Linked DNA regions of Lonchura striata. The main gene of each other region encodes a partner of the protein of the gene in region 2 in a complex. Links are inferred from orthologs where the notes say so. Each region holds a gene or a part of one and is shown on either strand. Other genes may lie near its edges.

What was found. Proteins that work in one complex are often made in the same cells at the same time.
Region 1: the proteins of PTPN23 (region 2) and ZFYVE16 are in contact, whole or in part, in a crystal structure (PDB 5MK0), measured with the Homo sapiens proteins. The link is inferred for Lonchura striata from reciprocal best matches to the Homo sapiens genes PTPN23 and ZFYVE16. Residues at the interface, in NP_056281.1 of Homo sapiens: Phe62, His125, Glu137, Glu138, Lys141, Val142, Cys144, Thr145, His146, Gln148, Cys149, Leu189, Lys192, Ser193, Asp196, Arg198, Lys199, Phe201, Leu202, Arg205, Ile206, Ala336, Leu338, Leu342, Asp348, Ala350, Val351; in NP_001098721.2 of Homo sapiens: Asp2, Tyr4, Phe5, Ala8, Val9, Leu12, Asp13, Leu15, Leu16, Asp17, Phe19, Glu20, Gln21.

Annotation. Positions count from the first base shown.
Region 1 is NC_134642.1:86,167,190-86,176,524, reverse strand, and holds the start of ZFYVE16 (zinc finger FYVE domain-containing protein 16), read left to right. Parts: upstream 1-5,209; 5' UTR 5,210-5,322; exon of another isoform or gene 5,323-5,377; intron 5,378-6,443; exon of another isoform or gene 6,444-7,865; intron 7,866-9,335. Other genes in the region: CCDC125 (coiled-coil domain-containing protein 125), read left to right, coding at 266-373, 1,343-1,511, 2,763-2,881, 2,958-3,051, 3,148-3,407.
Region 2 is NC_134603.1:156,657,332-156,667,365, reverse strand, and holds the start of PTPN23 (tyrosine-protein phosphatase non-receptor type 23), read left to right. Parts: upstream 1-6,407; 5' UTR 6,408-6,459; coding exon 6,460-6,543; intron 6,544-7,586; coding exon 7,587-7,661; intron 7,662-8,206; coding exon 8,207-8,334; intron 8,335-8,730; coding exon 8,731-8,807; intron 8,808-8,902; coding exon 8,903-8,952; intron 8,953-9,383; coding exon 9,384-9,515; intron 9,516-9,849; coding exon 9,850-9,930; intron 9,931-10,034. Other genes in the region: CCM2 (cerebral cavernous malformations 2 protein), read right to left, coding at 3,782-3,811. UniProt on the Homo sapiens protein: Plays a role in sorting of endocytic ubiquitinated cargos into multivesicular bodies (MVBs) via its interaction with the ESCRT-I complex (endosomal sorting complex required for transport I), and possibly also other ESCRT complexes.

The sequences.
Region 1 (9,335 bases), on a different chromosome or scaffold from region 2:
GGCTGTAACTCTTCAGGTTTTGTGTTGCTGTTATCTCTTTGTGAAGAGTTTCTTGATTATCTTATCCCTTTTCTTGAGCTACTAAAAAATATCTTATATCACAGAGTTCCTGTTTTAACATTATTTTATAACCTCAAACTATCTTTAACACACTACTTAAAAATGATTAATACAGTATTACAAAATATAGTATTAACATTTGCGAAGAGCCTATCATAAAATATGCATTTTTCACCCTGGCCTCTGGTTTGCTTTGGGTTTTCAGCTGGCAGTGCTCGGAGCCTGCACCTGCAGCCCTGCTGAGGGGCAGCCCTGTCCCTGTGCCAAGGTGGCAGCTCTCACTCGGAAGCAACTCCTTCATCTCAAGCAGCAGGTGACAAGGCTGGCAGGGTGGGGACAAGGAGGGGGTGCTCCTGCACCAGTCCAAACCAAGCCCAAAACACCCAGGCACTGCTCTCACAAACTCTCACAACCACAGTGGATCTCAGAAATACTGTGAAGTTTGTGATGCTTGTAATGCCATCATTTTTGCTGGTAGAAAAAAAAAAGTGATTATATCTACTCAGCTTTACTAGTTAAAAAAAAGAAAATTGCATTCTTTTCCCTTCTCCCCGTATTTTTTATATGAAAAAAGAGAACATGCCCTAAGGGTGTGTCCCCCATGAATGTGCACACTGTGCACGTGGACTGGCACTGAACCTTCCCTTCCTTCCTGGCAGTGCCTTCCACCCCTCCCTCGTTGGCATCAGCACCCACAGCCCGCTCACTCAGCTAGGGCAGCAGGCTGATCTTGCTAGAAATACCTATTTATCTCTCACTTAAATCAGTGACGTGAATTCCAGGCTCCTATTTTTTTTCTATTAAGTGAAATTGTGCAGATTTAGGATTTCTCTTCTAATCTGTATTTGACTCTGCAAATGTGGTAGCCATCCTTGTGGTCCTGCTGCAGAACTTCCAGCTGACCAGCCGGTTTTGAAAATAGGTGCTGGCCTGTCCCTTATGATCCCTGATATGGATTGCAATCTCTTGCTCCTTTTTCTCCAGGCCTGGCTGGAGGAGACATTATTTTTCTCCTTGAGCTCTTGTACATATGCAAAGATAAATAAACTCAGAGATTATTGTGTAGGTGGCTGGGGGTGTGAACATGTGCAGACAATGAAGAGCAAGGACTTCAATACACATTTCAAAATGCATTTCTTTACATGCCAGGAAAACCCTTTGGTTCCTGCTGCTTCCTTGATTATATTTACTTGCAAGCTGTCTGCGTCTTAATATTCCTTTCAAATCTGTTTTGCTTCCAAAGCAGCTAACGCGCTTTAAATTTCCCCTGACTGAACCCCAGGTGGAGGATGTGAAGAAGAGCAGGGAAGAGGCATATCTGGTGGCGGACGCCTTCCGGACGGCGTTTGAGCAGCAGCTGGGGCAGAGGCAGGAGCAGGCCCTGCGGCTGGCAGAGGCGCTCGGCGTGAAGAAGGGAACCAGATCTGGCAGCTGGCGGCGGCAGGGCGCTGGTAGCTGGGCAGTGCCTGGGGCTGGCTGGTCTGGACACGTGCTGGGGGCTCAGCTGCTGCCCGGGCTGGTTTAAGGGCTGCCAGCAACTGCTCTGTCTTTTGGGTTTTGTTTTTTGTCAAATTAGTTCTGCAGAAGAGGTGGGGAAGGCGAAGAAATGCAAAAAAAATTTATAGCTTGAGGTTTTTTTAGCTCCAAGTGGGGCTTGAGCAGCCTGGTCTGGTGGAAGGTATGGAGCAAGATGAGCTTCAAGGTCTCTTCCAAGCCAGGCCACTCCATAATTCACTGGAGTACTAAACAGTTGTGGTTTTTTTTTTCTTAAACCCCTTTATCTTTTTATTATGCATGTGTATTGATATTTCTGTTTATTAGTGTTCTTACACTAATGCAGAGTTACAAAGCCCTGTGTAAAAAGAGGAAGATTTCCAATCTGTAAAGTAGGAGTAATTCTAACAATCTTCTATTATTAAAAAAAAAAATAGAGGGATAATGAGAGGTATTTGAGTGCTTACATCATGGTCAGAACCACTGCAGGCTTTAGGAATGGCACAATATATTTGTTTTGACCATTGGCAGGAGCTTAGAAGTGTGATATGTGTCTCCCAAATTCCTGGGGCACTCCTGGGGTGTAGCTCTACAACAGCACAACCTTGAGTGTCTGTTTCCCCTGTACTGGCCCCATTGCTTTCAGGCTCCATTACCTGGCACATCTGTTCCGTAATTTTAATGTATTTTACCATTCCTGGAAATCTTACAGACTTCTATGTGGCCAGTGTCAGAGAATCTTTGGGGTTTTTTTTCAGCTACTTAGTGTTTAAAAACAAATTAATTTTACCATTCCTGGAAATCTTACACACTTGTAGGTTGCCAGTGTCAGAGAATCTTTGGGTTTTTAAGGCTACTTAGTGTTTAAAAACAACCTGCTGTGAATTTTACCATTCCTGGAAATCTTACACACTTGTAGGTTGCCAGTGTCAGAGAATCTTTGGGTTTTTAAGGCTACTTAGTGTTTAAAAACGAACTACCGTGAATGATTGTTTACCTAGAGCGTGAAAAGTGTGTTTTTCACGGAGCAAATTCTCAATTTGCCCCCGTGCGAGGTCTGCGCAGCGGGAGCAGGGAGACGTGCCGAGCTGCGTCTGGTGTTGCCCTTTTCTCTGTGACTGCTCAGCTCCAGTTGAGCAGTGCTGCTCTATCCTGAAGCGGTTTCCCCTCCCGGAGCAGCTGTGCTGACGCGGTTGTGTTTTCCGCAGAGGGCGGCGAGCCCAGCCTGGGCCGGCGGCTGTCCGGCCTGCTGCGGTCAGCCGGGGACGGCAGGAGGGTGCGGGAGCTGGACGACGCCCAGGAGCTGCTGCGGGTGCTGATAGACCTGGTCAGTGCACGGCTCTCCCTGCGGCGCGGCGCGGCCGCGGCGCGCTGGCGCTGAGCGCTCTGCTCTCCGCTGGCAGGTGAACGACAAGGAGGAGGCCCTGGCGCACCAGCGCAAGGTCAGCTACATGCTGGCGCGGGCGGCGGAGCCCGGCCAGGCCGGGCCAGGCTGGCGTTGGCTCGCGACCCCCAGCCCTGCCCGCCCGGCTCGGGCGGGAGCGGCCGCGGGGCCGCCGAGGCCACGGTCCTGGCCCTCTGCGCTCCGCTGAGGAACGGCGCCACGGCCACGTGGAAAAGAATGTTCTGGAAATACCAGGAGTGGCCATGGGGCCGCCGAGGCCACGGTCCTGGCCCTCCGCGCTCAGCTGAGGAACGGCGCCACGGCCACGTGGAAAAGAATGTTCTGGAAACGCCCTCTGCGCTCGGCTGAGGGACGGCACCATGGCCACGTGGAAAAGAATGTTCTGGAAACACCAGGAGTGGCCATGGGGCCGCCGAGGCCACGGTCCTGGCCCTCTGCGCTCGGCTGAGGGACGGCGCCACGGCCATGGGGAAAAGAACGTTCTGGAAACGCCCTCCACGCTCGGCTGAGGGACGGCGCCATGGCCATGTGGAACAGAACGTTCTGGAAACACCGGGAGTGGCTGTGGGGCCGCCGAGGCCATGGTCCCGGCTCTCCGCACTCGGCTGAGGGACGGCACCACGGCCATGTGGAAAAGAACGTTCTGGAAATACCGGGAGCAGCCGCGGGACTGCCGAGGCCATGGTCCTGGCTCTCGGCTGAGGGACGGTGCCACGGCCATGTGGAAAAGAACGTTCTGGAAACACCGGGAGCGGCCGCAGGGCCGCCGAGGCCATGGTCCTGGCTCTCGGCTGAGGGACGGTGCCACGGCCATGTGGAAAAGAACGTTCTGGAAACACCAGGAGTGGCTGCGAGGCCACCGAGGCCATGGTCCTGGCTCTCGGCTGAGGGACGGTGCCACGGCCATGTGGAAAAGAATGTTCTGGAAACACCGGGAGCTGTGTGTGCTGTGGTGGTGTCACTGCGGGGATGATGGCGCAGCGTGGGCACAGGGGCGGGAGTGGCTGTTTCAGCGGCACCACTGGGAGCATGTGTGGGCTGCGCTGGCAGTCCCTGAGGGAGTGGCGGTGACGTCACTGCATGGGGTGACATCACTGCAATGGTATGATGTCACTGCAGGGGTCTGATGTCACTGCAGGGGCGTGATGTCACCAGAACAAGGACAGACAGGTCTGCACAGGCAGGGCTGGTGCCAGTGACGTCTTGCTGTGGAGGGTGTGATGTCACCGGAATGAGCAGGGCCTGGGTGGGGCTGGTGGCACTGCAGTGACATCACTGTGGAGGGTGTGACATCACTGTTGGGGGTGTGACATCACTGTGGGGAGTGTGATATCACTGTGGGTGTGTGACATCTCTGTAGGGGGTGTGACATCACTGTGGGGGTGTGACATCACTGTAGGGGATGTGACATCACTGTGGAGGGTGTGACATCACTGTGGGGAGTGTGACATCACTGTGGGGGTGTGACATCACTGTTGGGGGTGTGACATCACTGTGGAGGGTGTGACATCACTGTGGGGGTGTGACATCACTGTGGAGGGTGTGACATCACTGTGGGGAGTGTGACATCACTGTGGGGGTGTGACATCACTGTAGGGGATGTGACATCACTGTGGAGGGTGTGACATCACTGTGGGGGTGTGACATCTCTGTAGGCGATGTGACATCACTGTGGAGGGTGTGACATCACTGTGGGTGTGTGACATCTCTGTAGGCGATGTGACATCACTGTGGAGGGTGTGACATCACTGTGGGGAGTGTGATGTCACCAGAACAGGCAGGGAGCAGGGCCTGGGTGGGGCTGATGGCGCTTCAGTGATGTCACTGTGGAGGGTGTGACGTCACGGTAGGAGTTGTGACGTCACTGGAACGGGCAGGGAGCAGGGCTGATGGCGCGGCAGTGACGTCACCGCGGCGCGGAGGGTCTGACGCCACGAGACCCAGGCGGGAGCGGCGCCCCCTGGCGGGGGTTACGGGACAAGGTGGGGGGCGTGACCTACACGAGAGGCCCCGCCCCTTTCCCCCAGGCCCCGCCCCGGTGGGGGTCAGGCCAGTCGGCGATCCGCCCTCATGCACTGTCAATCACGGACGCGACCACGCCCATGTAGCAATACCACGCCCCCTCACGCTGTCCGTCTGGCGTTTGGCCCCGCCCCTTCCTTGGGGCCGTGGCGGGGCGCGCAGGCGCGGGCGGGGCCGCGCAGGCGCGGGGTGGGGCGGGCGCGGCCGCGCAGGCGCGTTGCGCGCAGACGAGGGCCGAGGCCGCCGCCCGGAGCCGCCGGCGGGGCCGGGACTGGGAGCGGGACTGGGAGCGGGGCGGGCCCTGAGGGGATTCGGCCCCGAGACGGCCCCGAGCCCGCCGGGTGAGGTCGGGGCGACGCGGCTGTGCGAGTCTGACCTCTGCCTGAGGGCACCTGGGTGGGTGGTTCGCCCCCGGAGGTTTCTGCGTGTTGGTGGTGGTGTTGCTTGCTGCGGTTCCGCTTGTTTCTATATACGGCGTATCGAGCATGGGATATGTACAGAGAGCGCTGTGTGGGGTATGTGGAGAGTGTATGTGGTGTATAAAGTAAAGTAGACGAGGTTATTTGGCAGGTTGTGCAGAATACATATATGGCACATAGAGCGGACAGTGGTGCACCGCACACTTAGAGAGTGTAAAGCACTTTGAGTCTGTGTTTAAATCCGAGCAGAACCGGTCACTGGCAGCCTGTGGGCAGTGCGGCAGAGGGTCCAGCCGGCCGCCAGCGCCGGTGCTGCCGGTGCCGGGTGGCGAGAGGCGAAGCCGGGCTGGTGAATAACGCAGACCGCGGGGAATGGGGTGCGGAGCGAGCAGCGCTCCCCTGCCTGCCGCGGTCCCTTCTGCAGAGCTTTCTGTGCCCGCATGACAGCCCCTGCCTGCTGCGAGTCAGGGCCGCTCTGCCTCCCAGTGCCGCCTCCAGGCTGGCTCACAGCAGGAGAAAGAGAACAATCTGCTGGAGGGGCCCAGGGAGGCACAGGGAGGATTCGGGCTCTGCAGCATCTCTGTGCCGGGCTCGGCCCGGGCGGGCTGGAGCAGGGAGCCGAGGGGGGATCCCGTCCGTCCGTCCCACCCCTCCCAGGCTCCCTGGGACAGTGCCAGGGAGGGCTGCGGGGTCCCTGTGTGGGACATCCCAGCCCAGCTGGACACGTCCCCGAGCCCCTGCCCAGGGGAGCAGCTCCAGAGGAGCCTTCCAGCGCTGCAGTAATTGAGGCAGTCCGCGATTCTCTGGGTGCTGTGAGCAGTGCTGCTCCCAGCTCAGAGGAGCAGGGTGGATGAATGAACAGAAATCCTCAGAAGCTGAAGGCGATGTGGGATGGAGCTGTGCGGGTGTAATGTCATCACGCTGCTGGTGGAGTTCTGCCCTTCTGAAGAGTCCATGTTTCACTCACAGAATAGCATTCCTCAGACAAGACAGCTTGTTGTGCTCTATCCTGTAAGCTTGTCCTTATATATCTGAAAACTTCAACAGCTTTTGGTTCACCCCATGGTTCAGCTCCTAAACCTGCTGTGGCAGCAGCCACCTCAGCTTTTGGTTTACACAGTAAGTTGTTCTGCTCAGCAAGAATCATTCTTGTTTTTATTTAAATTTTTCACACACTGTTTGTGCAGTTGTGCTGAACTTCATCAGGTTGATTGCTGATGGGCTCTGTGGTCAGCTGTTCCCTAAAACTTTTTGTCATTAGGGCTTCAGGCCTGTGTGTGGGTTCATGGGTGTTAGGGAGGGGGCTGAGAAGGAAAAAGCTGGTAATGAATTCCTTCAGTACCCTTGATGCTTTTTCCTTGGTCTTAGAATTGTTAGACATGGGTAAGGGATAAAAAGGTTTTTATTTTGGTATTTAATTAGGATTTTTATGGTGTAACAATTTGTCACATTGGGCTGTACCAAAATGCAAACTGTAAAATTTGCATGTACCAAAATGCATACATATGGTAGATGGTGTATACAGTTTTATAGGTTTTGTAAACTAGTATATTTAACAAAGACATTTCAATGAGAGGTTTAAATAAATAGTGTGATTATTTTAATGTATTTTTTCTTAGATGGGCGTAACAAGTGTTTTGGAGGGGTTTCTCAAGATAATGTTAGGTTTTCTGGCTTCTGACTGTGAGGCTTTTAGAAGTTTGGTCTTTTGGCTTAATAGAATACCAGGATTATGTTAAGGTATTAGGCTTAAGGAATTACAGTTATATTAAGGATACTGAGACCTCATAAAAGGTATATAAAAAGAAAAGACAAAAATCATCATGGCAACACCCATGTGCAACACCAGTGAGGGAGAGGGGGCACACAGCAGTCCATGAGTGTTTCACTGTGAGCTTGGTGCTTAGTGCCCATGTTTATATTGGAGATTTTGTTCTGCCTGCGGTGGTTGCTGGGGTGGTAAGGTGGAAAATGCCATTTCCATGCTTCCACAGTCCTTAGCTCAGCTTTCTGCTCAGGCTAAGCATAATAATTAAACACTGTGGTGGAGCTGGACATAGCCAGCGAGCCAAGGGACTGCAGCTGTGGTAGTCAGAACTGAGGTGGTGGCCATCCTGTGGTCACCTCTCTGGAGGGGAGACCCCTGTGCCCCTGCTTGTGTGTTCCTTTGCCTCTAAAGCCCAGCTTGGGCTCTTCTGGTATGTTTTGTGTAGAAGCAGGCCTGGCCTCTGCAATGGGGATTAGCTGCAGCAAACTGTGGGTGTGGTGGTGCCCATATGTGTGAACACTAGAGAGTGGTTTTCAGGTGTTCTCAGACATCAAAAGGTAGCTTGTCTTCAGACCTGCAATGGGTTGGTTGGTAATAATTAACCTATCCATTCTGTTTTGCAAGTTACCACCACTGAGAGCTGTGAAGTGCCTCCTTTTACAGAGTGTATCTGGGAAAAAGCCCTGCAATCCATCCTGTAAGTTGGCCACCCCCAGCAGCCTCGTGTTATCTCCTCCTTGAACTAAGAGTGTGCAGAGAAATCCCCAGTGCATGTTGGTTTTGGACTCTAGAATGTGTGTGCCTGTTCGGTTAGAAGGGATAAGTGATTTATGAAGGATTTTAAGGAAGTGTTGAGGTCTGTGACACATTTTTGAGCACCCTGTCACGCTTGCAGTCATCGAGATCTCAGGATTTGCATTCCACAGTTAATAGTTAACAGTTTTAATGAGGTGGAACTATTGCCTCTGTCTCTTAGGTCTGTGTGGTGCTGTGCTGGGAGTGTGTCAGACCATTTGTTGGAGATCTAAGATGAGCCTGTTTCGAGGTTTATCTGGAGAAGTGACATGTCCAGTGTGCACTTTTTTGTAGTACCTTTTGTGCTTAGATGATTATTTTCCCATTTTGAAGCAGACTGCTATTTTACCTTCAAGTCTCCTCCTACGTAAATATTTAATCTATCTTTATCTGAAAGCATATGGTCTTTAATAAACAGTGATTTAAATATAATTTTAAAGTTTTTTTGAACTATGAAATGGAGTGGTGAGAGCCTAAAATTTTATGTCTCCTTGCACTATTAGGGACTTATTGCCTCAGATAAAGTTATAAGCATATGTTTATTTTTAAAGAATACTAATCTGTGAGCCAGTTTAGAGTGTGTCTAGTGACTGTATTCAGAGCTCTAAAAGACAAATTCAGAAAACACAACTGTGCCTGGCTAAAAAACGTATACAGAGGTGGTGCTCCTGGTTTCTGATAGTTAGAATGCAGTGTAATTCTTCCGTTACAAGTATAAGCCTTAAAGGAATATGCTCAGAGCAAATGCATTTCGCTAAAGCACATGGTTCCTCCAGACCCTCCACTCAGGGAAGCAAGCAGCCATTTAATAAAAATGTGTCACCAGAGCTTTTTCATAGCTTCTAATCCAATAATGTAAACACTGCGACAGGCTGCAGGCAAATCCAGGCAGCAGAAAATAAAACTTGTTCCTCTTGCTGAAAGAGGATTTGAAACATGAGAAACTAGAAGGCTTTTACAATTTTTTGGTGATGCAGACACCAAAGTTGGGACAGGGGGGTACTGCTGCTCTGCCCTGTTTTGGGGGTTTTGATTTTGTTGTGGGTTTCAGATTTTTTTGCTTGTAGGTCTATTGTAGAAAGATGAAAAACCTATGAAAAGTTTGAGGAGAGTAATGAAATTAAGAAAAATACACATGCTAGTTTTTCAACGTTAGGTTAGTACTTTACGAAATCAAATAACCATTTTATTTAAAAAATAGATTTAACTAAACAAAGCAACATTGCTGGGTTGGTAGACTGAGGTATGATAGTTTGTTGAGCTCTCTGTAGAAGTGAGCTGATCTGTATTAAATAGATGTAAATATTGGCATATGGTTTTAGTTCTACAGTTCTTTTCATTGAGTTCTTCCTTTTTCTGGAGAGTTTAGTGG
Region 2 (10,034 bases):
TGACCTGGAAAGTGGATTTCCCTGGGAAAAACGGGAAATGCCAAACCCCGAAGCGCCAAGTTTGGAAAACCACTGGAGCCAACACACAGCTGTCCTTCAGCACGGGAATGCCACGTGGATCTCCCCAAGCTCCACACCAGATAAATGACTGGGAACATCCCCCAGCTGCTCCAGTTCCAGGTGTCCCAGGGCAAGTGGATGTTTGGAGCAGACACGTCCATGGCTGGACCCAGGAACTCCTCGGACGTGTGACTCCAGTGTCCCATTCCCTGGTGTGCTTCCCACCCCAGCACAGCCACATCCCAGCTTTCCTGATCCTCAGGGCAAGGGAAAGGAATGTGGGATCTGAAGGGGCAGACAACATGCTTCCAGTGGTGGATTCATTAATTACAAAGCAAGGAAAAGCTGCTGGGACAACGGGAATTACCAGCTCACAAGGAAACACAAGGACACTGGGGACAGCCCGGCCTGGAAAAGCAGCCCCTGGATCAGGGAGACAGAAAGGAAGGGATCTTCCAGGACAGAGAGGAGAGGAAACAGCTCCACAGCCCTGCTGCAGGAGGAGCAGTGTGGAATTTTGGGGGGCATCCCTACACAGCATCCAGGAGAAGAACCCCACGATCCTTGATCAGGGTGTTCCATCATCCTGCTGAGGGGCTGGGATGCCGGAGAGAAGGGAATCCTGGACACAGCAGGTGAGTTTAGCAAGAGCAGAGATTTGGGGAGTCTCCAACTTTGGGATGTCGCACCCGAAATCCTGCCTGCCAATGCTTAGGGATGCATCTCCACAGGAATCTTTCAGGAATTCACAGCAGAGCAATGCAGGAATGTGCCACCGAGGCTGTACCCAGACCCTTCCCCCTCCGCCAGGCAGGATCCAGAGCCACCCCAAGGCAGAGGAACCCCCTTTTCCCCCCAGGAAGTGGCTGCACCCCGAGGGCTGGGCTGATTCTGGGCTCCCCTGGCTCTCCTGGGCACCCCAAAGCCTGGGGGGAGGCGCCTCCGGTGTGACGCAGCCCGAAACAGCTCCTGCTTTTGGGGCGCCCCAAATCCCAGCACCCACCTCGTCCTCCATGGAGCCCGGGACAGGGGGAGGGAGCCGTGCTGGGGGGCTGCAGAGCTGGGGGGCACCAGGGGACGGGGCACGCTCCCCTCCTTTCGGGGTGCTGCCGTCGGGGCCAGGAAGTGCCACGGTTTCCTCTGCCCCACGTGACGGGCGGAGCGGGGCAGGGACCCACGGCGGGGCACGAGCCCGTTCCCTGCTCCCACCCTGCACCCCGAAATCCCTGACAGCACCCCAACCCTCCATCCTGTGCCACAGCTGGGGGGGATGCACCCCAAAATCCCCAGCAATGCCCCAACCGGGGGGGAATGGCCCCGTGCCGAGGGAGGCTGAGCCCTGGTTTCTGTTCTGAGCTGCTCTGTTCCGACTCCCAGCTGCATCCCAGCTGCTGCTCCCGGAGCAATTCCCAATCCCAAAGGTCCCACAGCCCCCTGAGTGCGTGGGCTGTGCAGCTTCTTCCTGCCCAGAGCAGCTGGGGCTGCCCTGCATCCCTGGCAGTGCCCAAGGCCGGGCTGGGAGCTCCTGGGGCAGGAGAAGCTCCTCCACCAGCCCCATTCCCAATCTCCCAGCAGATCCATGATTCTCCTGCATCCCTGGCAGTGCCCAAGGCCGGGCTGGGAGCTCCTGGGGAGGGGAAGCTCCTCCACCAGCCCAATTCCCAATCTCCCAGCAGATCCACACTGCTCCTGCATCTTGGACGCTCCAAAATCCACTTCATCCCCCAGAGCAGAGGGGTCCCAGCCCTGCAGCAGCTCCAGGCCCTTGTGCTACTGGATCTGGGGCAGCTCTGCAGGTGGGGTCTCACCTGAGGGGCACAATCCCCATTTCCTGCTGCCCACGCTGGGGATCAGCCCGGACATGGGGCTGGAAATGTGGGATAACAAAGGAATTTCAAGAAGAATTTCCCCCAGGGATGTAACTCCGAGCTCAGCAGCTCCTTGTTTCAGGAGGGAAATGCTGGAGCAGCTGCTGGGAGAGGCAGGTGGCACCAGCCTCAGCTCTCCAGGGCCTCCCCGAGCTGGAAAAGCTGGGAATGTCACACTAAGAGCTGAACCTCAGGGAATTCCCTCAGGGAAACCCTGCAAGCTTGGGATCCCTGGCACGGCTTGTGGAGTCAGAGCAGCAGGGAGATCACTCCCAGAAAATTCTCCTTCCCCCACACTTCCTGGGGATAAGCAGGTGGGAGCACCCATCCATCCATGCTCCCCTGAGGCTCCAGGTGTGACACCAAGCCCTGCCAGATTCCCATGGCCTGCTGGAATTCCATCCTGCCTCCCAGGACTTGTGGGGAATGCTATTCCATCCCAGGACAGCTCCCTTCCCGCTGGGATAACCCCCACTGAGAGCCAGGGCACGCCAGCTCCTGAAGGAATTCCAGGGCTCCAGTTGAAACCAGGTTGGATTTTATCCAAGCTGGACTCGACCCCAAAGCCAGGCTGGGATTTTCCTCCTTATCCCAACCAACCCTGCCCTGATCCCTTTGGATCAGCCCTGAGGGAACTCAGTGCCTCCACTTCAGCTCAGAGTGCTGCTGGAACCATCCAGAGTGGGAGAAGCAGGGAGCAGAGCTCTCCCTGCAGCTGGAACACCTGAGGAAGACAAGGACAGGTCTGTGCTCCACAGGCAGCAGCTCCAAGGGTTGGTTAACCACCAAACTCCAAGGAAGCTCCACGAGGCCTTGGAGCAGCTCAGGAGAGGCCACAGGTGGGTGCCAGCTCAGTTCTGCTCCAGAGGCACCGGGAGCTCCTGCTCCAGCGGGATGGGACAGCCCCGGGACAGGGCCCGAGGAGGCTGCAGGGACCAGAGAAATGGGATTTTCCAGGTGGGATGGAGGGTGAGGAACCAGCCCAGTGTGTCCCTGGGGCAGGGAGGAGGGAGGATCCAGACTCTTCCCAGTGCCAGGAACCACAGCGGGGAGCCCCAGCTGAGCTCTGCCCAAACCCCCTGGAGCTGACTCCTTCCCAAAAGCAGCTCCATCCCGTGTGCAGGTGAGAAATTCCTCCAAATTCCTCCCAGAGTGGCATCACGGGGGTTTAATTCCCAGACCTGCCTGTCCGGGAAGCCTGGAGGGCGATTCCCCACAAAATCCCACTCAGCCTCACTCATTCTGGAACCTGCTGCCCCGGGGCTCCCAAAATCTCCAGTTTTTCCCCAAAAGGACGGGCTCACACCCAGCCTCGGCCTGCAGCTCTGGCTGAGCCTCCCCGAGGCCACAGAATGGAGCTGGGAGGAGGGAAACCAGGCCGGAGGTGCTGAGCCGCGAGCCACAACAACGGCATCAATTAACGCAGGAACGAATTCACTGAATCCGCAGCAGTAATAACGTAAATAAATTAGCAAACCCATAAATTAATCCCTCCGTAATTAATACTCCCATCGATTAATAACAACCTTCTCCAAGCCCTCGGGAACAGCGGGACGCTCTGGGCTGGGGGCTCTGGGTGGCTCCCGGGAAGGGGATGCGGGAACGGTCCCGGGAAGGGGATGCGGGAACGGTCCCGGGAAAGGGATGCGGGAACAGTCCCGGGAAGGGGATGCGGGAACGGTCCCGGGAAGGGGCAGCCAGTGGCTCCCGGGAAGGCGCTCTGGAACAGCCCCGGGAGGGGATCGGGCACCGCCGGGGAGTTCCGGGCTGGGGCCGGGGGCGGACCCGCCTGGGCTGAGCCACCCTCGGGGGGCACAGCGCGGACCCGGCCGCCCCCCGGGCCCCGCTCTCACCTTCTTGCCCTTCTTGCCCTCCTCCTCCATGGCTCCGGCGGCGGCCCGGGGCCCCCCCGGGGCATCCCGGCCCGGCTGAGGGGCGGGGCCTCAACGCGCGGCGGCGGAGGCGGCCATGGCGCGCCCGGTTCCCGCTCCAGCCCCGCCTCCAGATCCCGATCGCGGTCCCGGTTTCCCCTCCCGGTCCCGGCGCCGCCTCAGCGCCCGCGGCTCTGCCCCGCCGCCATCTTGGGCGGCGCCTTCCCGTGACGTCATCGTCCCGCCGCCGGGGGGAGACGAGCGCAGTGCGCCTGCGCAAAGCCGTCGGCGCGCGCAAACCACGCCCACCACTGATTGGTCACGCCTACTAGCCACGCCCATTATGATGTCATCGCATATCACACGCTGCATTAGACCACGCCCCTCGCTGGACCCGCCCACCCGCTCCTCTATGACGTCATCGGGAGGCGCCCGCTCTTTCAGTCATGGCCGCTGCCGCCGCCGGTGAGGGGTATGGCGGTCTGCGCTCATCCGCCGCCATCCGCGGCCGCCACCGCTGCCTCCCGAGCTCCCCGCGCATCGGGCCCCGCCGCGGTGCGTTCCGGGCCGGGCTGTCCCGGGGAACCGAGGCTGACCCGGGAGCAGATTCCCGCCGCAGGCTCCAGCATGGCGGGGCCTGTCGTGGCCCCTGCCATTCCTGCAGTGCTGCCAGAGCATCCCGGGGCCGTTTGAGGCCGCTCCCGGCGCCTCCCGGGGGCGGTTATAGAAACCTCGGACACGGCCGGGCTGGGGAGGAGCTCGGTGGGACACGGGGGGCTGCGGGGTCCCGAAAGCCCCGGCACGGCGGGGCCGGTGACATTGCTGCTGTTCTCCGTTCCAGGCTCCTGCTGCGCGGATCCAGAGGGACTCAGGAAGCCGCCAGGAAGAAAGAAGTGCATTCAAGGGGGCTGGCACCGTAATTAGCCCGGTTTCGGTTAATTAAGGCTACCGAGGCCTCGACCCTCGTCTCCCAGGGGTGAAGTTCCATGGGAATGCCGTGACTGAGACACGGTGGCAGGAGTTGCCTGTCGGCAGCACTGCCCAGGTGAGGGCCAGCCCCGGCTCTGCCCGGGGGGAGGCTGCGGGACTGGGACTCCGTGGGAATGTCGGGGGCCACGTTCCTGGAGCTACCCGGGGCTCTGGCACAGCCCGGGCTCTGCCGTGCCCGGTTCCCCTGGCTCCTGCCGCCGCGGGCTCCAGCATAGCGGGGCCTGCCGTGGCCCCTGCCATTCCTGCAGCGCTGCCAGAGCGTCCCGGGGCCGTTTGAGGCCGCTCCCGGTGTCTCCCGGGGGCGGTTATAAAAACCTCGGACACGGGACCCCAAGCCCACTGGGATTTGGGGACAGGGGCAGCAGGGCCAGGGCCATTCCTCATTCCTGCCTTTCCCATTGCAGGCTCCCTCCGTGGGCATCCAGAGGGCTCCGGGAAGGCTGCAGGAAGGAGAAGGTGGGCACAAGGCTCTTGTCAGTGTAATTAACTCTGTGGTGGTTAATGAGCGCTGGCAACACGAGCTGTGTGCTGCTGTCACTGCCTGGTGTGTGCCAGTGTCACTGCCTGGTGTCACTGCCAGCTGTGTGCCCCTGTCACTGCTAGCTGTGTTGCTTTATCCCACAGGGACCTGTCCAGAGGCGTGGAAGGAGAGGCCAGGCTGGTGTGGCAGATTCCCCTTGGCAGAACAAGGAGGATTCGGCGGCGCCACAATCGAGGAATTAAACCCATTTAATTGACCCATAATTAAACCCATAATTGAACCTGTGGGTTTAACGTGCTTTGGTTCCACAGCTTCTTTATTTCCTGTTTCTGGTCCAAAGGGATGGAAATGGGGATTCGGGGGAGGAAGCTGCTCCAGGTGCTGGAGCAGAGATTCCCCAGGGGAGCAGGAGCCCCCCGTGTCCCCAGGGTCACCTGGGCTGGCTATCCCCTTGTGCCAGGCTCAGATGGCCCCATTTCCCCCAACCCCAGTGTCCCCAGTGCCCAGGGTCCCCAAATCCTGATGTCCCTTGTCCCTGAGCTCACGTCCCGTGTCCAGTGCCCGGTCCCTGGCTGGGTGGCAGCAGAGCCGGGACAGGGACACGCCGGGGGCTCAGCTCTGCTCCTGCTGGGATCCTGAAGCTGCTGAGGAGCTGCTCCTCTACCAGAATCCATCAAAGAGCTCCGCTAATGGCTCAAACAATTAGATGAGCGAATCAATTAACGGAGCAGATAGTTAGACCAGCAGGTTCAAGGGGCACAACGAGGTGTCCCTGGCACCACCGAAGCGTCCTGGAGCCCTGAATGCACTGCGGGACGCTGGCGGGGCGGGGAGGTGTGGAGAAGGCTAATTAACGGGGTGATTAATTAGCGGGGGGAGGCTGGGCGTGGCGGTTGCCGTGACAACCGCGCCGCTTCCGGGGCGGGGCCTGTCCGTGACAACGGCCGTGCCGTCCAATCAGCGACCGAGGCGTCGCCATGGCAACAGCGCTCGTCCCGCCCCGGTGGGCGTGGCCATGCGCTCCCCTTTGTGGGGGCGGGGCGTTGCCATGGGAACGGGGCCGGAAGTGCGGCCGCGCTCGGAGCCCCGCGGACTCGGTGTCCCGTGAGCCCCCGCGCGCGGTTCCGGCGGGCCGGGCCGGGCCGGGAGCGCACCGGGAGCGGGCCGGGCCGCGCCGCGCCGCGCCGGGATGGAGGCCGTGCCCCGCATGCCCATGATCTGGCTCGACCTCAAGGAGGCCGGCGAGTTCGCCTTCAACGCCGCCGTCAAGAAGGTGCGGCCGGGCAAGGCCCGGCGGGGCGGGCGCTGGGGGCTGGGAGGGGTCGGAAGCGGGCCCGGGGCACGGGGAGCGGGGCAGGCGGTGCCCGGGGGTCCCTGCAGCCACCGGCGCCGGAGCTTTGGATGGCGGACCCCCCCGCCCCGAGCCGCCGGGGGCTGGCGCCGTGTCCCTGCCGCCCCCGCGGGGCCTGGTTAATTAGTCACTTCATTAAGGGCTGTAGCAGGCTCCGGGCCCGCACAGTTTGCGGGTGCGGGGCGCTGCGGGGCTCCTGGCGCGCGTGCCGCTCCCCCCGCGGTTTTGCGGGGCGCCCGGGCGGCCCCGGGAGTGTCCCCGGCGTGCCGCACCTGGGCCGGGCACCTTCCCGGTGCCCGTAAGTGCCTTTTCCACCCTCGGCCGTTCCCGAGCCCGTTCCCGACCCAATCCCCGATGCCATTCCCCGATCCCATCCCTGATTCCTTGTGCCCATTCCCCGCTCCCGTTCCCCGATGCCATTTCTGATCCCGTTCCCCGTTCCCGATCCCATTCCCCGCTCCCGTTCCCCGAGCCCATGCCCGGAGCCATTCCCCACTCCCGTTCCCCGAGCCCATGCCCGGAGCCATTCCCCGCTCACATTCTCCACTTCCATCCCCTTCTATCCCATTCCCGGTGCCCGTTCCCCGCTCCCATTCCCGGTGCTCGTTCCCTGATGCCCATTCCCCGGTGCCCATCCCCTCGTATCCCGTTCCCCACTCCCTTTCCCGGTTCCCACTCCCCGCTCCCATTCCCACTCCGCGCTGCCGTTCACCGGTGCCGTTCCCTGCTCCCCTTCCCGGTGCCTGTTCCCCGGTGCCCATTCCCTCCTATCCCCTTCCGCGGTGCCTGTTCCCTGCTCCCGTTCCCGGTTCCCACTCCCCGCTCCCGTTCCCCTTTCCCGGTTCCCACTCCCCGCTCCCACTCCCGGGGTGCCCGTGGGTGCCATTCCGCCCCTCCTGCCCGGTGCCCCGGTGTCCCGCCGCTCCGGGAGCCGGTCCCGGCCGCTCAGCCTCTGCCGCCCCCAGTTCGTGCTGAAGAACTACGGGGAGAACCCGGAGAGCTACAACGAGGAGCTGCGGAAGCTGGAGCTGCTCCGGCAGGTGAGGGACGCTCTGGGCCGGGGCTGCTCCTCTTCCCCGGGCCCGGGGCCGCTCCTCTTCCCCGGGGCTGGGGCCGCTCCTCTCCCCCGGGGCCGCTCCTCTCTCTCCCCGTCCTTGCATCATCCCCGGAGCAGCCCTTGGGTGGTCCCAGAGACCCGGGAGCTGCTGGGGGGGCAGGGACAGCTCCTGCTGCCGGCCACAGGCTCCCCAAACCCGGGGGGCCCAGCCACCCCCAGCCCGGCTCTGGGGTTTCTCCTCTCACCGTGTCCCAGGACACCCAAATCCCGTGGCTGTCCCGGCCCGGGGAGCTGTGCTGGGGGTGCAGAGCCTCATTTTGCTGCCCCGCTGCCCCCATCCATGAGGGAGCTCGTTTTTGGGAGAACTCGGCTGTTCCCGAGGCTTTCCCAGAGCCCTGCCCCATCCCGAGCGTGCGGCTGGCTCCGGCCTCCCCTGCGGGACAGCTGCTGGTCCTGCCTGGAGCAGGCAGTGCCCTGAGCCTCTTCCTCCTCTCCCTCCTCCTCCTCCTCCCCCCGGTCCCTTCCCAGAGCGCCGTCAGCGTTCCCAGGGACTTCGAGGGCTGCAGCACCCTGCGCAAGTACCTGGGGCAGCTGCACTTCCTGCAGAGCCGCATCCCCATGGGCCAGGGCCAGGACGCGGCCGTGCCCGTCACCTGGTGAGGGGGTCGGGTGGGGGAATTGGGGTGGGGGAGTTGGGACATGGGGGGCTGGGATGGGGGGCTGAGCCAGGCAGGATGTGGCCATGCCCACCCCTTGGGGAGAAGCTGCTCAAGGAACCCCCTGGGAATGTGGTCCTGGCCAGGGTGGCACTGGGGGATCCCAGGAGTCCTTTGGGGGATGACAGTGTCCTGCCTGGGGTGGCACAGGGGTGGCCCTGTGCTGTCCTGGGGAACGGGGTCGTGCCTGGGGTGGCACTGGAGGATCCCAGGGACCTTTGGGGAACGGGGTCCTGGGGATGGGGATCTCAGGAACCCCTGGGGAAGGGGGATCCCAGTAACTCCTGCTCTCGGGAGAAGCCCTGCTTGCTCCCTGTGCTGTGCCCCTGCCCCCAGGACTGAGATCTTCTCGGGCAAGGCGGTGACGCACGAGGACATCAAGTACGAGCAGGCCTGTGTCCTCTACAACCTGGGTGAGCCCCCCAAATTCCCGCAGCTCGGGGGCTGCCTGGCCCGGGCCCCCGCTCCCAGGGGTGTCCCTGCCCCGCTGAGCCCCCCGTCCCCACAGGAGCTCTGCACTCCATGCTGGGAGCCATGGACAAGCGCGTGTCCGAGGAGGTAACGCCCGCGGCACCGGGCAGTGCCAGCTGGGAGTGACAGGGCTGGGCTGGGCAGGGCTGGGAGGGGCTGGGCACCAGCAGAACCTGGGATCTCTGGGCTTTGGGGTGTCTGGAGCACCAGGAGGGACCCTGGGGACAGGAGGGGACAGCCAGAGGGTGGGGCTCTGCTCCCGGGTGACAGGACAAGAGGGAAACAGCCTCAAGGGCAGGTTCAGGTGGGATATTGGGAATGTTCCTCTTGGAAAAGGCTCTCCTACCCTGGCCCAGCTGCGAGGGCAGGGCTGGAGTCCCCATGGCTGGAGGGATTTCAAAGCCCTGTGCATGTGACACTTGGGGACACGGTCAGGGATGGCCTTGGCAGTGCTGGGGGCTGGGTGGACTCCATGGTTTGGGAAATCATCTCCAAACCCAACAATTCCATCCCCTCAGGGCATGAAGGTTTCCTGCACCCACTTCCAGTGTGCTGCTGGTGCCTTCACCTACCTGCGGGATCACTTCCCACACTCCTACAGCGTGGACATGAGCCACCAGATCCTCAGCCTCAACATCAACCTCATGCTGGTACGGGCTGGGCACTGCTGCCACTGGCACCCCTCCAGGTCTCCGTGGCCTTGGTGCTCCCCGAGGATCCACGGGCACAGGACCCCGCTGTCCCCCAGGGGTTCTCTGGGGGTCTGGGCTCTCCCCTGGGGTGTGGGGAAGGAGGTTTTGGGAGGCACTGGGGGGTCAGGGAAGGCTCAGTGCCATTCCTGGGCTCTCCAGGCACCCTCAGGGCTGGTATTCCCTGTGCCACATCCATCCCCTGGGAAAGGGGCTGGAGCCAGTGGGTCCTGCCAGGGGTCTGGGCTGTCCCAAGGGCTGGGGACACTGAGCATTGCTCTCTTGTCCCTGGCAGGGCCAGGCACAGGAGTGTCTCCTGGAGAAGTCCATGCTGGACAACAGGAAAAGCTTCCTCGTGGCCAGGATCAGTGCCCAGGTGAGCTCCAGGAGCTGCTCCCAGCACGGCCCTGCTCCCACTGGGATCAGGAGCTGGAGAGGGACTCTGGGCAAGGCCTGGAGCGACAGCACCCAGGGAATGGG